2 linked regions of the Tamandua tetradactyla genome follow. The protein of the gene in region 1 purifies or fractionates together with the protein of each later gene. This does not show direct contact. Links are inferred from orthologs where the notes say so. Each region holds a gene or a part of one and is shown on either strand. Other genes may lie near its edges.

What was found. The genes of interacting proteins can lie anywhere in the genome.
Region 2: the proteins of ACTR3B (region 1) and ARPC5 purify together in Homo sapiens (affinity purification with mass spectrometry; 5 studies listed by BioGRID and IntAct, counting the BioPlex papers as one, with this or other methods). This does not show direct contact. The link is inferred for Tamandua tetradactyla from reciprocal best matches to the Homo sapiens genes ACTR3B and ARPC5.

What each region holds. Positions count from the first base shown.
Region 1 is NC_135327.1:197,439,985-197,447,955, forward strand, and holds the start of ACTR3B (actin-related protein 3B), read left to right. Parts: upstream 1-4,957; 5' UTR 4,958-5,130; coding exon 5,131-5,174; exon of another isoform or gene 5,175-5,342; intron 5,343-5,596; exon of another isoform or gene 5,597-5,619; intron 5,620-7,971. UniProt on the Homo sapiens protein: Plays a role in the organization of the actin cytoskeleton.
Region 2 is NC_135330.1:38,564,646-38,571,719, forward strand, and holds the start of ARPC5 (actin-related protein 2/3 complex subunit 5), read right to left. Parts: upstream 3,103-7,074; 5' UTR 2,876-3,102; coding exon 2,733-2,875; intron 437-2,732; coding exon 355-436; intron 1-354. UniProt on the Homo sapiens protein: Component of the Arp2/3 complex, a multiprotein complex that mediates actin polymerization upon stimulation by nucleation-promoting factor (NPF).

The sequences.
Region 1 (7,971 bases):
GATTGTTGTGAAGATTAAATGTGATGATGTACTGAAAATGCTCTGAAAACTAAGTTATACTGTAATTCAAATTCTCCATTTGAACTGGATAGGAATACTGTTTGCTAGAACAGGGGAATTTACTAAAATGCACTCAGTCTATTTTGTTGAATGAATAAATGAAGTGAATTTGAATTGAAATTGGAAGGATGAATGAGTCTTGGAGGATAAAGATGAGGTAGCTGAAGGAGAATGTCGAAGACTGAGAGGACTGCATGATGACCTGACGATGCAGAAGGTTTGAAGAACAGTGTCTGTGGTCTGCTGTGCCCTGATGTGTCAAGGGGCATAATGTGAGATGAAATTAGAAAGGTTAACTTAGGAGCAGATCATAGGGAACCTTAAGACCCACCATAAGAGTTTGGGCCAAATTCCATAAATAATAGGGAGTCATTGAAGGTTTGGGGGAAAGAAGAATGACATGATATATAAACTTTCTATATTTTGTAATGATACCTTTTACAGCAGTGTAATTTGTCCAAAAGGTGTATTGAGTAGGCAAAAGCCTGGAGACAGGGTGGCTGGAGCAGGGGTGTGGGGAGGTTTTGAATAGTTCAGCAAGAACGACAGTAGGCATGAGAAGCAGGGTATGGACACAAGGGAGGTGGTGAGGTTGAATGAACAGGACTTGGAAGCTGACTGGTGTAGGAGAAGAGTGAGAAGGAGGAATTGAGGATGAACTTTCTAGTCTGAGTAATTTTTATTAATGGAGACAGAAACACAGCAGAGTTGATCTGAATATGTTTAGTGTTGACGGGATTTCCTTAACTGTTTTGTGTTTTTTTGGTCTGTTGTCAATTCTTTGATACACTCCAGCCCATCAACTTTAGTTTGGATCATTTTTTTCTCACAGTTGCCAACACATCAGGGAGGTCCATTGAGCTCAGTGACAGGCCCTTCCTCTTAAAGGAGAATGCCAACTACTTGAAAGGAATGGAGTACTAATTTTTTGGTACTCTTTTCTCTTTGAATTTTCATGGCAACAGAGAACACACAGAGTGCTCCTTCTTACAGCTCTGAGATTTAAGACTCACGGAGTTGCTGGGTGGGCACTTTTTAAAGAAAGCCTTTAGTTTTGTGTTCTTTTTTTACTTCTTGGCCCAGCACAACCAGTTAAATGCAGGAAATGAAGATCTCATTGCCTGAGTTTTCATTGACTAAATTCCTTTGGATAGCCAATGTCTAAGCCCTGCTTATTTTGTTTTTAAAATTGTCTTCATATGCATAACCAGCATCAAAAAGTGTTCATTGAAGTTCATTTGAGAATGGTACTGGGATGTTATAGCACCCAGGATTGTAGTCATGAAATAGTTATACCATCTGCCATGGAGGGGATGCTAAATTCTATCCAGGAAGTGTTATGGTATCCATGTTTCTGCCTGTTGGGATGGGGCTGAGTAGGTCACTTTTGGGTAGAAACACAATCAAGAGATTGACTCTCCTGTGAAATAGAGCTGATTAAACCTTCCCTTCTATTACAAGCAGAGCACAGGGAGATAGGCTGAGCCACACAGAGTAAAGAAAAATATTCTGGACTAACAGGCATTTGGTAGCAGGCATTTTGCAGTGTATATTAGAGTGAGCAAACCTCATTTGCAATATAACTAATAAAAATTGTACTTGAAGTATCTCTTGCAGGATGTAAGGTTTATCTCTGTGGGTATTGTACACTAGGCACTATAAAAAGTGATGCAATAGCCTCTGATCTATAGGAGTTCACAATCATTCATTGACTGGTTACAAGGTCCCAGATGATGTCCTGTGAACTAGAAATATAAAAATATATAAAACATAATCCTACTCTAAGGGAGCTCCCTGTCTACTGGGGATTATAGTCCTGCAACAAATTACAATGCCATCAAATAAACACTAAAGTGAAAGTATGTATGATGCTTTCTGTGAGCACAGAGGAGAGGGATTAGATTTATGAAGTAAAGGTGTGCTTCATAGAGATGGTAAAGCTAGAGCTGGGTCAGCAAGGATGAGCAGGTTAAGTAACAATTTCAAGCAAAGGCAAGATTATGTAAAAAAGGCATAGGGAAGTGAGAATATATGGCTTAATTAAGAAAATTATGGGTGATGCAGAAACTATTTCGTTGTCTGCACAATGAACATTTGCCTCTTGCTGACCAAATTCAGCATCAGTCAGGCACCAGCTGCCATATGCTTCAAAGGACAGGACATCCCTCTCCAGCCTAAGGGGTTTGTTTTCAAAAGTTTGCCATTCACAGTACAACAGTATCCCTTGCCAATAACTGTTTTTTTTTTTTGCATAGGCTGGTTGATGAAACAAGCAGGGAAGCTGCCGGGGACTCCTGGAAAAGTCTTTCTTCCCTCTTTGAAAGATAATCAAGATGGGGAATTTCTTTTTCCTTTCTTTGTCTGTTTTAGTGCATGCAGCTGCTGTAGCCATCTTGCAATTGCAAGGGATGGGCCTGAGGACAAAGGCCAACACACAAGAGGTTGGTAGAACAGAATGTATAGGTCCACAATGATGTCATTGAATTGGTGGAGTTCTCTTAGAGTTACTGGATTTCCTATTACATGAGATAATAAAATTTCCTCATTGCTTATGCCACTTTTAACGAGGTTTTCTCTTACTGTGTATGAAAACATCTTAACTGATACCTTGAGGGTTAGTGGTATCTAGAGGAAATCATTGAAGTTAGAGTCTCTGATTTATTTCCTGTCAGCTGCTGACCATGGCCACCATTCCCAATAAATTCTATGCAAAATCCCTGTAAAGGAAAACTTTTTATTACCAGCCAGTTCCAAATTCCCTCAAAGGCGTATTTCCTGGTGAATGGACAATTGTTTGGGTTACCCAGGCTGCTCAAAGCAGATATCATGAAATGGGTTGGCTTTAAACAATGGGAATTTATTGGCTTACAGTTTGAGGCTGTGAGAATGTCTAAATAAAGGTGATGCTTTCTGCCTGAAGACCAATTGCTGGTGATTCTTGACTCCTCTTCCATGTGGCAAGGCACATGGTGGTATCTTCTGGTCTCTCCCTTCCCTTATAGGTTCTTTGCTTCCAGCTTCTTGTTTCCAAGGCTTTTCTCCTCTCTCTCTCTCTCTCTTTCTCTCTCTCTCTCTCTGTATTCATTTCAATTATAACGGACTCCAGTAATAGGATTAAGACCCATCCTGAATTAGGTGATTCACATCTTAACTGAAGAAGCCTCATCAAATGGTCTTATTTATAATGGGTTTACATCCACGGGAATGGATTACATATAAGAACATGTTTTTCTGGGGTACATGTAGCTTCAAACCACCACAAACATACATGAGCCTTGAGGTCCTTCTTGTTTTGTGCAGATTGTTTCCCATCCTAAAACACTCTCTCATTCTCCTCTGTCTAGTTACCCTCTATTCATCCTCTGGGTTTCAGCTTAGATACTATTGCTCTGAGAAGTCCTCACTAGCTGACAAGTCAGAGTTGGGTGCCCCTCTAGTGGCTTTCCAAGCCTTTTGGACTTGCCCTATCTTAGCACTTAATGAACTGTATTGCAATTGCCTCTTAACTGCCATTATCTCCCATAGAAACCGATGTCTTGGGAGCACAGACTGTGAGAATCCTGCTTACTGTTGCAAGCCCAGTGTTTAATATAGTTTCTGCCTTACAGTAAACACTTAATATATATTAAGTGACTGAAAGAAAATAAAAGACATCATGGTGCCAAGCCAACAGTCTGCAGTCCTAGAGTATATCTATGGCATTTTGGCTAGTGCCATGAAAAGTGGGAGCTGGGTAGGCATTGGCAAAACTCAAAGTAAGCAAGTTAGTGTTTTGCCCATATGGATTATACTTGGGATCCTATATTGGTATTCTTCTACACTGCTGCCCTTTCACTTTCCTCACATTTTCTATTTCTCTCTCCAGTTCCCCTGAAAATTTTCTAGGTCTGGGGCTTATTTGACCCTTTTAAGTAATATGGGAACAATAATGATTTATCCAAGAGTGATCAACTAATCTATTACTTCTCTTAGGAAAAAAACACAGTGCTTTAAATACCAGTTAAAACCACATAAAAATTACATGTCTCCAAAAGTTCATAAAAAATTTTCAAGAATTTATGATAGGGTAGAGAGCAGGAAGCAAGTTGGACTTCCAGTATCCTCATAACATAGTAGGCAGGTGTTTGCTTACTCTGATCCATGATTTCAGTAAGAATTTTTGGATGATAATTTTATCTTTGATACCTGAAAATATGGCATAATATTAACTAACCCTAAGATAATCTCTTAAGGCTGGCTATGCATATGCCTTGCAGATTTTTCTTTTCTAGAGGAAATTAGTGTTCTGCTAGGTATAATAACTAACAGTCGTCTCACCTGCCATGCTGGAGACCCGGGTTAGATTCCCGGTGACTGCCCATGCAAAAAAAAAAAGGAAAACTAATAGTAAATTTCTTCAGGGTGAAAATTATTCATTCATTCAACATTTGGGTGCTTCCTATATATGTGCCAGATACCATGCTAAGCACAGGGTAACCTGTGGTGAATAAGACAGACATGAGCCCTGTCCTAGTAGAGCTAACAGATCAGTGGGAGACAGACTACTAATAAGTAGAAAAAGTTTGCTCTAAGTGCATGAATGAAAGCAATTCATTGCTGAGACAGAATCAGGTGTGGGGTGGAAACCTAATTAGGTTCCCTGAGAAGGTGACATTTGAAGTGGAACTTAAAGGATGAGAAGAAGCCAGGTCTCGGAAATGGGGTCACCTTCACCATAAATCAGTCAAATATAAATACCAATCTCTTCGGCCACAAGGGTACCATCCACAACGTATAAGCACAGAAACCTCATACCAGCACTAAAGATGGCGAGAGAGGGGAGGGGGGCATCCTTGCGCCGTGATTGGCTAGGACAGAGGGAGGAGCGTCACGTGGCTCTGCCGCGGAGCATCCGGGCTCCCGAGAGCGGTGCTGCCTCTGGCTACCCGAGCCGCGGGAGAGGCGGCCCCGTGGGCGGGGGCGAGGCAGTGGGACCCACGCGTATAAGGCCGGCCGCCGCGATCGTAGCGGGGGTGTTCCTGGGCCGCTCGTCTAGGCCGAGCGGTGCACGCCGCGCCCGGCCTTCCGAGCATGGCGAGTTACCTGCCTCCTTGCGTGGTGGACTGTGGCACCGGGTAAGAGCCTTGCCATCTCCATCCCCTCAGTCCGCTGGACACCCTCATCCCTGTTCCTCCCGCTTGCTCTGGTCTTCCAGTTCCACAGGCGTTGAGCAGTTCCTTGTGGCCTCCCTCGCGGACCCTGCAGCCTGAGGTATCCCGCCTTCTCCCCTGGAGGTAGAGGTAGCTGAGCCCTGGACTCCCGGCCTCAAGCCGTCTACCCACCTGTGCGGATAAAGGCGGCGGCATCTCCACCCTGCACATCTCCTACCCCTTTCCTTAAATATTTCGCCTTTAGATTTTAAAATTCTCTTTTAACTACCAGTAAAGGTGTATCTTCCGGGGCGCGCAAAAAGGTCACTCACCTTGAGGAAAGGGAAAGAATGGAGAGGGAGTGACGGGCCCCATATAAATCTGTTTTGATTCTCTTCGTGTCCTACATCCTCTTAAGTGCTGGGCCGAGGTGGGTACCCCGAACTTCCAGCCGCAGTATCGCTGAGTAGGACCCTCTTAGCATCTCACCCTTGCCTTGAAAGCCAGTTTATTTAGGTGCTTTCAACCTTCTGTTCCTGCCATCCAGTATTCTTAAGTGGCGCTTATTCAGTGCCCACATCAATTGTGTTTTATTTCTCTTTGCTGATGATTTACCACCTAGTTACGGAGATGTTTATATAGTCCTATCGACTTGATACCCTTTTTACTGCCTTCTTTTCTTTTCCAGTATTAAATGGCTCACTCAGGAGATTAATTCTTGTTAAGTGCTTGCTTTAGTTTGAATAGACATGCCCTTTAGCTTAAAAATGATGTGGGTTAAAAGACTCCATTTTGAAAAACGGAAAGGTTAAATTTGGGGAAGCTTGTTTGTGAATTAGGTTTTTATTTTTTTTTTTTTACCTTTTTTGTGATTGCTTCTTTTACTGTTATTAAGATATACAAAGAAGACCTTAGGTAATTTCTTGTACTTTGAATGGCCCAAGCTTCCCTGATTTTAGAGAGGTGATTGCTGAATCCACAATGCTGGTAGTTTGGAAATTCAAGCTTGCCTGCTTACATTATGGATAAAGTTCTTAATAAAATTGCCTGGAATTAAATTTACTTGCTTGAAGATTTGTCAAGAAGAGATTTTAATAATCGTTGCCACAAAGTATTCCATGGCCTGTTCACCTTAACCTTGATTCTTTTTAGTAGAAAAATACGCTTGATTTTGGTTTCCTTGACAACCTAGTGTGGGTGTCATCTTCAATTTGTTACAGTCCCTCTCCTTGTGATTTTTCTTTCTTTCTTTTTCTTTTGCCATTGAAACTACTGCTAGTGATTATAAGCTGGAGAAACTGCCTCTTTGCTAACGCTAATTCTTCTTTTTGAAATATACATTGTGCCAGACTTTTGGTGGCTCATTATTTCAGAAGTTATTTTACTGCTCAAAACATGAGCTAAAATCAGTATTGATGTTAACCCCAGGGAGAAATTCTTGGCTCCCTTATCCATCTTCTCCTCTCCACCCCAGACTCTCTCCAGTTTCAGCGTTCACCTCACACCCCTACTTTATTTAGGTCTAGTTGTATCAAGACTGAAAGCAACAGGTAAAAATATTTTTTCATTTCCACATTTTCATGTGAGAACTTTTGCTTTCATATGTTTGGGTCTTGTAAAACTAATAGAAATATCAAGCATTTCTTAATGGTAGCAAGTAAAATGATATCCACAGAGTTTGTCATACCTTTACTATGAGTGAGCTGGAGATCTTACTTGTCATTCTTGCTATAAATATGTAAAATGTTGTGTGAATTTTTGACCTTTTGAGGTAAATGCTGAATGTAGCTTTGTGGATTCTGAGATACAACTTTAGTTATCATTGTTTTATGGTCCAAAGTCATGCTGTTGTCTTCAGGCTCCTCAACTTAGAAGTGCTGGCAGGGCTTCCTCTCAAAGGGTTTCACATGGACATATTCTGTCATGGAAACTTCTGTAATTCATCATGAGCTCCCATTGTCCAGAGTATGGCTAGAAGAGTCTAAATTTATCCTCTTAAGCATGTTGGTAATCCTTATATTTTCTAAAGAGCTGAAATTGTTTCACAATTGAGTTTTACCTCAAAATAGGATAAAAATGATAAAACATAGCCAAAAATAACCAGGTTCAAGGAAAAGAATGGGCTTGGGGAGTCATCTTAAACTTAGGCTAGTGCTTCCTGTAATTGGGCCTCTGATTTGGCCTTAGTCTTCATGACAAAGTTATGAGAGTTATGTGAGTTCGTAATTCCTGTTATCAGGAAGGAAGAGAAACACCTGTTTCTCAGGTGAAAACAGTTCTTTCTAGTATGAAATTCTAAAAGAAAAAAATTCACCTTGAACTATACTTAGTGGACACTGATGATTTATGATCCTAACCAGGACCATAGCAAATAGATTGCATTCTGGTGGCCTCACATCCGTTAATAAATCAGGGACCAACTAAGTGAGGAAAAGTGGGCTGTGGACCAAGACGGTAGTATGGACCAGGGGAGATCTGCTTGATCCAAAGTTAAAGCTTCGTCTGTTTAAAGGAATAGAGAAAATATTTCACAAATACCAGTCTCAGTCTCTTAGCTGATTTTTGAAAATGATTTTTTAATTGAGATGTATATTCACATACCATATAATTATCTAAAGTATATAATCAGTGGTTCATAGTATTATCATATAGCTGTGCATTCGTCATCACAATTGATTTTTGAACATTTTCATTACTCCAAAAAAGAAAAAAAGAATAAAAATAAAAGTAAAATGAACACCCAAAACATCTGATCCTTTGATCTAACATTCTCTGTTAGAAG
Region 2 (7,074 bases), on another chromosome or scaffold:
TATGATAAATATTTAATACTAGTATAATTAACAAAATATATTTAAAAAGCAAGCAAATAGAATGTTCATTTCTGTAAAAGCTTAATTTTTCAAGCCCTTGCTCAAATTTAACCTGTGTGGCCCCCTCTAAAAACACACAGGAATGATTTGTCATTTGAATTCTTTGAACTTATTATACCTACCATGCATTATCATAACTATATTAAAGAGTAATTTTTCAAATCTAAATAGTAAGCTCTTCTAAGTCAAAGACAGTGAATAGCTAAAATAGTTTGCTGGTTTTGTGAAACTTCAGGGGATTTGGGGACAAATGATAAGATCCCAGTAGAGATCACTGGGCTGTCAGTGACTCACCTTCACCGCCTGACTCTTGGTGTTGATGGGGGGATTTTTCAGAGCTGCTTGTAGAGCAGCTGTCATATTTCCTGTGATGGAGGTTAAGGAGATAAAAGCAAAGGATAGCCCCTAGGAAAGCACTATAACTACTGATAACCATTGGTTTTTATAACTTGACTTTTACATAAAAAGGAAAAGTTACTATAGTCACTATGTTCACTATTGGAAAATTCAATGTGCCAGTTTCAAAGATGGCCTTCAAAGGTAAACTACTGAAAACAGAACATTACATTATTTTTTTGTAAAGACTTTTCACCTTTGGTTCTAAATAGCAAATGAATACCTTGATAACCTTTCATATTCCCGTGGGAAACATATGCACGCAATATCCAGAGTGGTATTAAACCCTAAAATACATATCAGAATTATTAGGTCCCCTAGCAATCAAAATGTCTTTTTTATGTGATTATGACTAGGAAAAAAAATTAAACTTTTACCAAAACTTTATTCTATAATAGTTGAAATTCTGGTAGAAAATCCTGGTAGATTACCCTGGCATCTCAACAATATTATTAGCATTTCTCAATATTGATGACAGGAGACATCACAGAAAGTGTAATAACACAAACGACCCTTAGGTGGCAGCTTAATTTTTCTGTTTTGGATATATTCTTTCAGATCATTCAAACTGTTTTAGCCCATACCTATTACATTTAGCCTCTTTGAAAGCACCACTGGGTTAGCTACTATGAGAAACGGAAGGCCAATCAGACTATTAGAATGTACAGTCATTCCCCTAAAAGGAAAACCACTAAGTTCACTTATTTCCTCCATCTCTAGTGCTGGGCTCCCTCAGAGAAGGCAGGCTTATCTCCCCTGGTTCATAACAAAGGCTGAAGAGATATCTTTATATTTTAAGATAAATTGATTAAAAATCAGATCCACTGAGAGGACTACAGCACTATTATTTAAGCGTCATACAAATAATCTAAAATAGGCTAAATTAGTCTTACAAAACTTGATTTATCCATCCTAAAGAATGTCAAAAAGAATAATATTTTCCACTTATCTTCCGGAGAAAAAAGTCTGTCCAAAAAACTCAAAGGTTGGTGATAAACTGTTATTTTCAAACTTCTAGCGAAGCATGCCTCTTGTAGATTGGTTCATTTTTTAAGATGCAAAACATATCACAAATATCGAAATAATGCAAAATCGTAACTGATTGTGAAAGTTGAAGAAATCAAGGGAACATATGTACGTTGATAAAGCCAAATATAGTTGTACCAAATATTTCCCCCATTATAATTTAATAGAACATGCATGAGGAAAGAGTATGAAAAGCCTTCCTTCTTTTATGGACAGGAATAATTAGAAAAGCATGAAGTTCAGCCCCCCAAAATCTGAAAAACTGCAGCTTGTATGGCAACATCTACATTTTTCTAAAAAGATATGATGCAAATGCGAATAACTAAATATGATTACTCAAAATACGCAAAACCAAAACCCAGGCACTGACAGTCACATTTTAACTAAAACGGAAACAATTTTAGGGATTCCAAAAATGTTTCTGCTTTATACAAACGACTCCTCTTCAATTTTACTCACGGGAATTTATTTTAAATATATCCACGGGTTCTCTTTAGGTCTTCCCCGTTTTCTACCAACCTTTTCTCGAGCAGGTAAAGCACTCCAAGCTTCCTTTCTTGGGAATTTTGTTTTGTACTCACTCCCCTCCCCTCAGTTAAATGCCCCCCCCTCAGTTAAATTTTGTGCAAGCTGTATTTTGCCAAATCCTTTTTTTCTTAAAAGAAAAAAAAAGGAAAAAAAAAAAGGCAGCAGTAGGTCGTGGGCTGAAAAGACCTAGGATCTCATTCTGCGAACCGCGGTATCCCTCCTGGCAAGGAAGAAACTATTTCAACGCAAGAAAAAAACAAAAACAAACAAAGCCACTAAAGAAACATGCCCTTTCCCCGATCCGAAATTTCTGGAGCGACAGCGAGTCTAGTAAAGACCGTTCTAGGGAGAGCACAGAGAAAACACAGCCCTACCGACAGGCACCTAATTCCTTCCCCAGCGCAGCGAGGGCGAGGCTGGCGAAGCCTGTTCCCCAGAGGCAGGAACTCCCGGAGCAACCTGAGGAGTCCGGGCGCGTGGAAGGCGCGTTCGGAAGGGCAGGTTCCCCAGCCTGGGACCCTGAGGTCTCGAGGCGGCTCTGTTAGAATCGGAGGGAACCTCTCACTCCTCAGAATGGGGCCCCCAAACAGGAAGGTTCCACCCGCGCGCCGCAGGGGCAGCTCCGCGTCCGTCCCGGGAGGGGTCCCTGGCCCTCCGACCCCGCGGGGTGGCGGGGTCCGGAGAGAAGAGCCGGGTGGGGAGCGCGGGGGACGCAAGGATATTGCCGCAGGCAGGAGTCCACCTCGCCTTCGTCCGGCCCGGCCTGGCCGTCGCCTCCGTCTTCCTCGTCCACGAACTTGTTCTCGTCGTACTCATCCACGTCCACCTTCCGGAACCGGGCTGACGACACCGTATTCTTCGACATCCCTGATGCGGACCGACGGCAAAGGCCTCCTCTTGGTGGGGACCGCTCCTCAACAACCCCAACCCAGCAGAATCCGCAGCCTGCGCCTTCACTTCCCTCTTCCGCTCTGGGGCGTCGCCGGCAGCCGCGGCTCAGGCGGTTCTGGGCCTGCGCGGTGGCCCCGCTCCTTCCTCCTTAGGTTCACGCTCTTCTCCAGCCTCCTACGCCCCGGGCGCTGTCCCCAGGAGAGCGCGGCAGGGAGGGAGTGCGCAGTGCGCATGCGCAGACTCTCCGCAGGAAAGGGGCGGGGCTGGCTGAAGGAGGCGGGGGCGGGAGGGGGCGGAGTAGGAGGCAAAGCGAAAAGCGGTACCGCTGCCAAAGGTAACAGGCAATTGGTTGTCCGAAAGCGTCACGTAATCCCGAGGGGGTTCCCATAGAAACGCTTCTCTGCGGTCCAGTCTGGGGGGTCCGAGGTTGAAGGCTATGGGCGCAAGGAGCCGGCGGCCTTGGCTTTTGCTGCTCTCCCGGCTGAGCTGTCATTGGAGTTCTGCGTAAAGTCCGGCTGATCTGGCCTTACCCATGGGGTGAGATGGACTGGTTGCCGGACCGAGTTCCCTGCAGTTGGCAGGAGGATGGGGAGGAGTGGTGTACGCCCGGATGCCCAGCGTCGTTCTAGTTGTCGGAGACATCGCTTCGGACACCGCGCTTCAGGGGACGGTCTTCCCAAGCTAGGTCCCCTCCCCGGGTTTAGAACTACATCGTGCGGCCAACGAGAGGTCCCCAAGGACGGAGTCGAAAGGTCGTATTTTATTTCTCAGTGCTGTGTGACAACATCATGACAGGACCTGCAGAAGCTGAACTCGGTATCGTGTCCATTGGGAAGGAGGGGAAGGTGGCTGGGAGGGGCGGGGGTTGGGTGGTAAAACCGGAGAACCTGTAGAATTTGGTCAGTCATTATTCACATCTTAAAATAGGTGGTGGTTTGGAGCAAGAATGCTAGAGGAGGGTGGGGGCAAGTTAGGCTCTCTGGTGCTGAGGGGAAACAGAATGTGTTAGGATTCGTAGAAATGAGACCCTTAATATTTATATTTATGATATTTATATTGTTATAATATTTATATTATGATTTATATGGTGCTACTAGGCCAGCTTTTTATTATATTTGGCATCCCCATTTCCGAGACTAGAGCTGTTATTGAGGTAAAGCCACTATAAAAAAGGTAGCTGTGCTGTATGTATTACAGTGAAGTACAAATTAATTAAAAGTTCAAATATATGCAGAATAAAATTAATTTGAACATTTAGCTGGACACAGCTCAGGTGGCTTCATATTTTCCTGCCATTCTATCAGATCCAGTTTAGGTCCTCCGTTAGCAGAAGGCTGACTGTTGCCCCTGTTGAATAACTCAATACCTGGTTTTCTGTGGTGTATTGAAAAGAGCACTGGGCTTAGAATCATAAAAACCCAGACTTGAGTCTTGGCTACAATTTATAATCTGCTTGAGGCATGCAATTTAAAATTTTTAATCTCAGGTTCCTCATGCCTAAAATAGGAATAATGGTGTGTATTTCATAAGATTCTTATGAAGATTAAATGCACAAAAGTGTTTTGAAGCGCTAAAATTCTGCATTAATGTAAAATGTATGTTACCTGTACCATTGATTTGGGGACTAGCTTTATAAATTGCTAAATGATATATTATGTTTTAACTTGCCCCCAAAAGAGATTGCAAAATTCTGAAGGACAGACCATATAGATAGATAGATAGATAGATAGATAGATAGATAGATAGATAGATAGATAAATATATATATATTTACCTTTCTTTACATCTGTCATAAAGTTAAGCTTGCAGAAGGTACTCAATAAATGCTTGGTGGAGAAATGAAGTGTGAAAGGCAGTTAGGTTGAAAACATACTGAGAATAATGAATCACTAAGAAAAGGAAGAGAGACCTCAAACCTTTGAGAGAGAAAGAGAGAGAGAGAGAGAGAGAGAGAGAGAGAGAGAGAGAGGAAGAAAGAGAGAGAGAGACATCTCAGGAATTGAATGCATCTTTTTTCCTTGGGAGAGGAAAACAATGTGGTATTTTTCATTTCTCGATTAAATTACCCTTCTAGAAGATATGTCATTTAGGTGACAGAAAGTGGCATTTCTTTAAATTAACATTCAAGTTTTAAACAAATATACTGATACAAACTCCCCTAGGACTGTAAAACAGCAAAGACAAATTTTCTACCTGTTAGTAATATTTATTTTAAAATATCGGATACCAAAATACAAAATTATTGCTTATGGTGAATGGCGTTATATAACTTAGAATAAAGGTTTGTTTTAATATTTGTTCTCAGTTTAAATCTTCTGCTAATTTTAGTAAGAGCTAGACAACATACTTATTTAGATTCTAAAGATGATTGTACTTTTTGTTCTTATAATTCAGGATTTTCTTTGAAGAGAAAATTGAGCATTAAAAGCACTATTGAGAGTAAGTGGCAACAAGGATTCAAGAGTTAATAATCCCTTCTCTTACATTTCTAGTCTTTTGTATTAAGTCTTGTTTAGGAAATCTTTCTATTCTCTTATTTTAGAACTGAGAAAGACTTACTGGGTAAAAATCAACTTAAAGGGAACAGTGAGGAGAATTTTTAAAAATCGAGGTTGCTCAAGGGTATAATGGTTTTTATTGCTCAGAATTTTGCACTGTATGTTGAATGTGTTAAATGTAATTAATTCTTAGCCTCAAAATACATACTACATTTCAGATGTCAAAAAGGTTCTTTTTCCACTGCAGTATTTTTTACTGTCTCACAATGAACTAAGTGCCTAGGTACATAGTTGGTGCTCAATAAGTTTCTATCAAATGAGTTAATGATGTGACAAGTTTTGGAACAAATATAATTTTGGAATTATATTTAAAAACTGAGTGTTTTTGAATAGACATTAATACCCACGTTAGCTAATAGTTAAATCTTTATAAATCTTAGGGAGATGTTTTGTGAAGAGACTCATCCTTAGTTATCTTTTTTTCTTTTAATTAGGAAATACACATTGTACACATTATCCCACTTCCTTGCAAATTTCCAAATGTTTAATGTTAACTATGATATTTAATTCATTGTAAATAATATTAGTCTCCCTATTTTACATTTCAAGATGAGTACTTGACCCTGAACTAAAGAATCCATAAGGTTTTGAGACATTTGATTTTTTATGTAAATAACCTGGTTTGGACTACTACTAAAGCGAGACAGAATGTGAATTTTCTAAAAGTTAATGCTGCATGATAGTATATAGCTCCTTCTAATTTTCTATGATGATGCAAAGTCAAGGGTCTTATTAGTTAGAAGAAACTTTAATAGCATGATCCTATAATAGGTCTTCTCAGATAGTTTAAACCAAGAATTTTACTGCCCATGTGCTTCTTTCCCTTAAATTTGTCTCTAAATATTTAAACAAATGAAGTCATTGAATTTTGCTAGCATGGCACTATTGTTTTTATTATTTGGAATCAAAGTGAACTCAGTGTTAATAAAATATATCAGATGTGTGTTATAAATACAAAATAAGTATATTTCAGTTATGGTGATGATGATTGTGCCCGTTTGAATCTGTTGTGTGCTCCAGAAAAGCCAAGTTCTTTAATCTTATTCAGTGTCGTTGGGTGGGATCTTTTTTATTGTTTCCGTGGAGATGTGACCCACCCAATCGTGGGTGGTAACTTTAGATTGTTTCCATGGAACTGTGTCTCCACCCATTCAAGGTGAGGTTGCTTACTGGAGCCCTTTAAGAGGGAACCCTTTTGGAAAAAGCTCAGAGCCAACAGAACCCACACAGCCAGAGGCTTTTGGACGTGAAGAAAAAAAATGCCCCCTAGGAGTCGCTTGAAAGGAGAAGCCAGAGACCCCAGCAGATGCCAGGCATGTCTTCCCAGCTAACAGAGGTGTTCCTGACCCATTGGCCATTCTTGATCCAAGTTATCGTTTTCTGGATGCCTCAGTTTGAACATTCTTATAGGCTTAGAACTGTAAATTTGCAACTTAATAAATTCCCTTTTTAAAAGCTGTTCCAGGGAATATGAGGGTATTTCAGTGGTAGAATTCTCACTTGCCTTGCGAGGTACTCTGGTTCGATTCCTGGCCCATGCACTTCCCAAACAAACAAAGAAGCCAACAAAAACAAACAAACCATTCAACAAATGGTGCTGCAATAACAGGACACA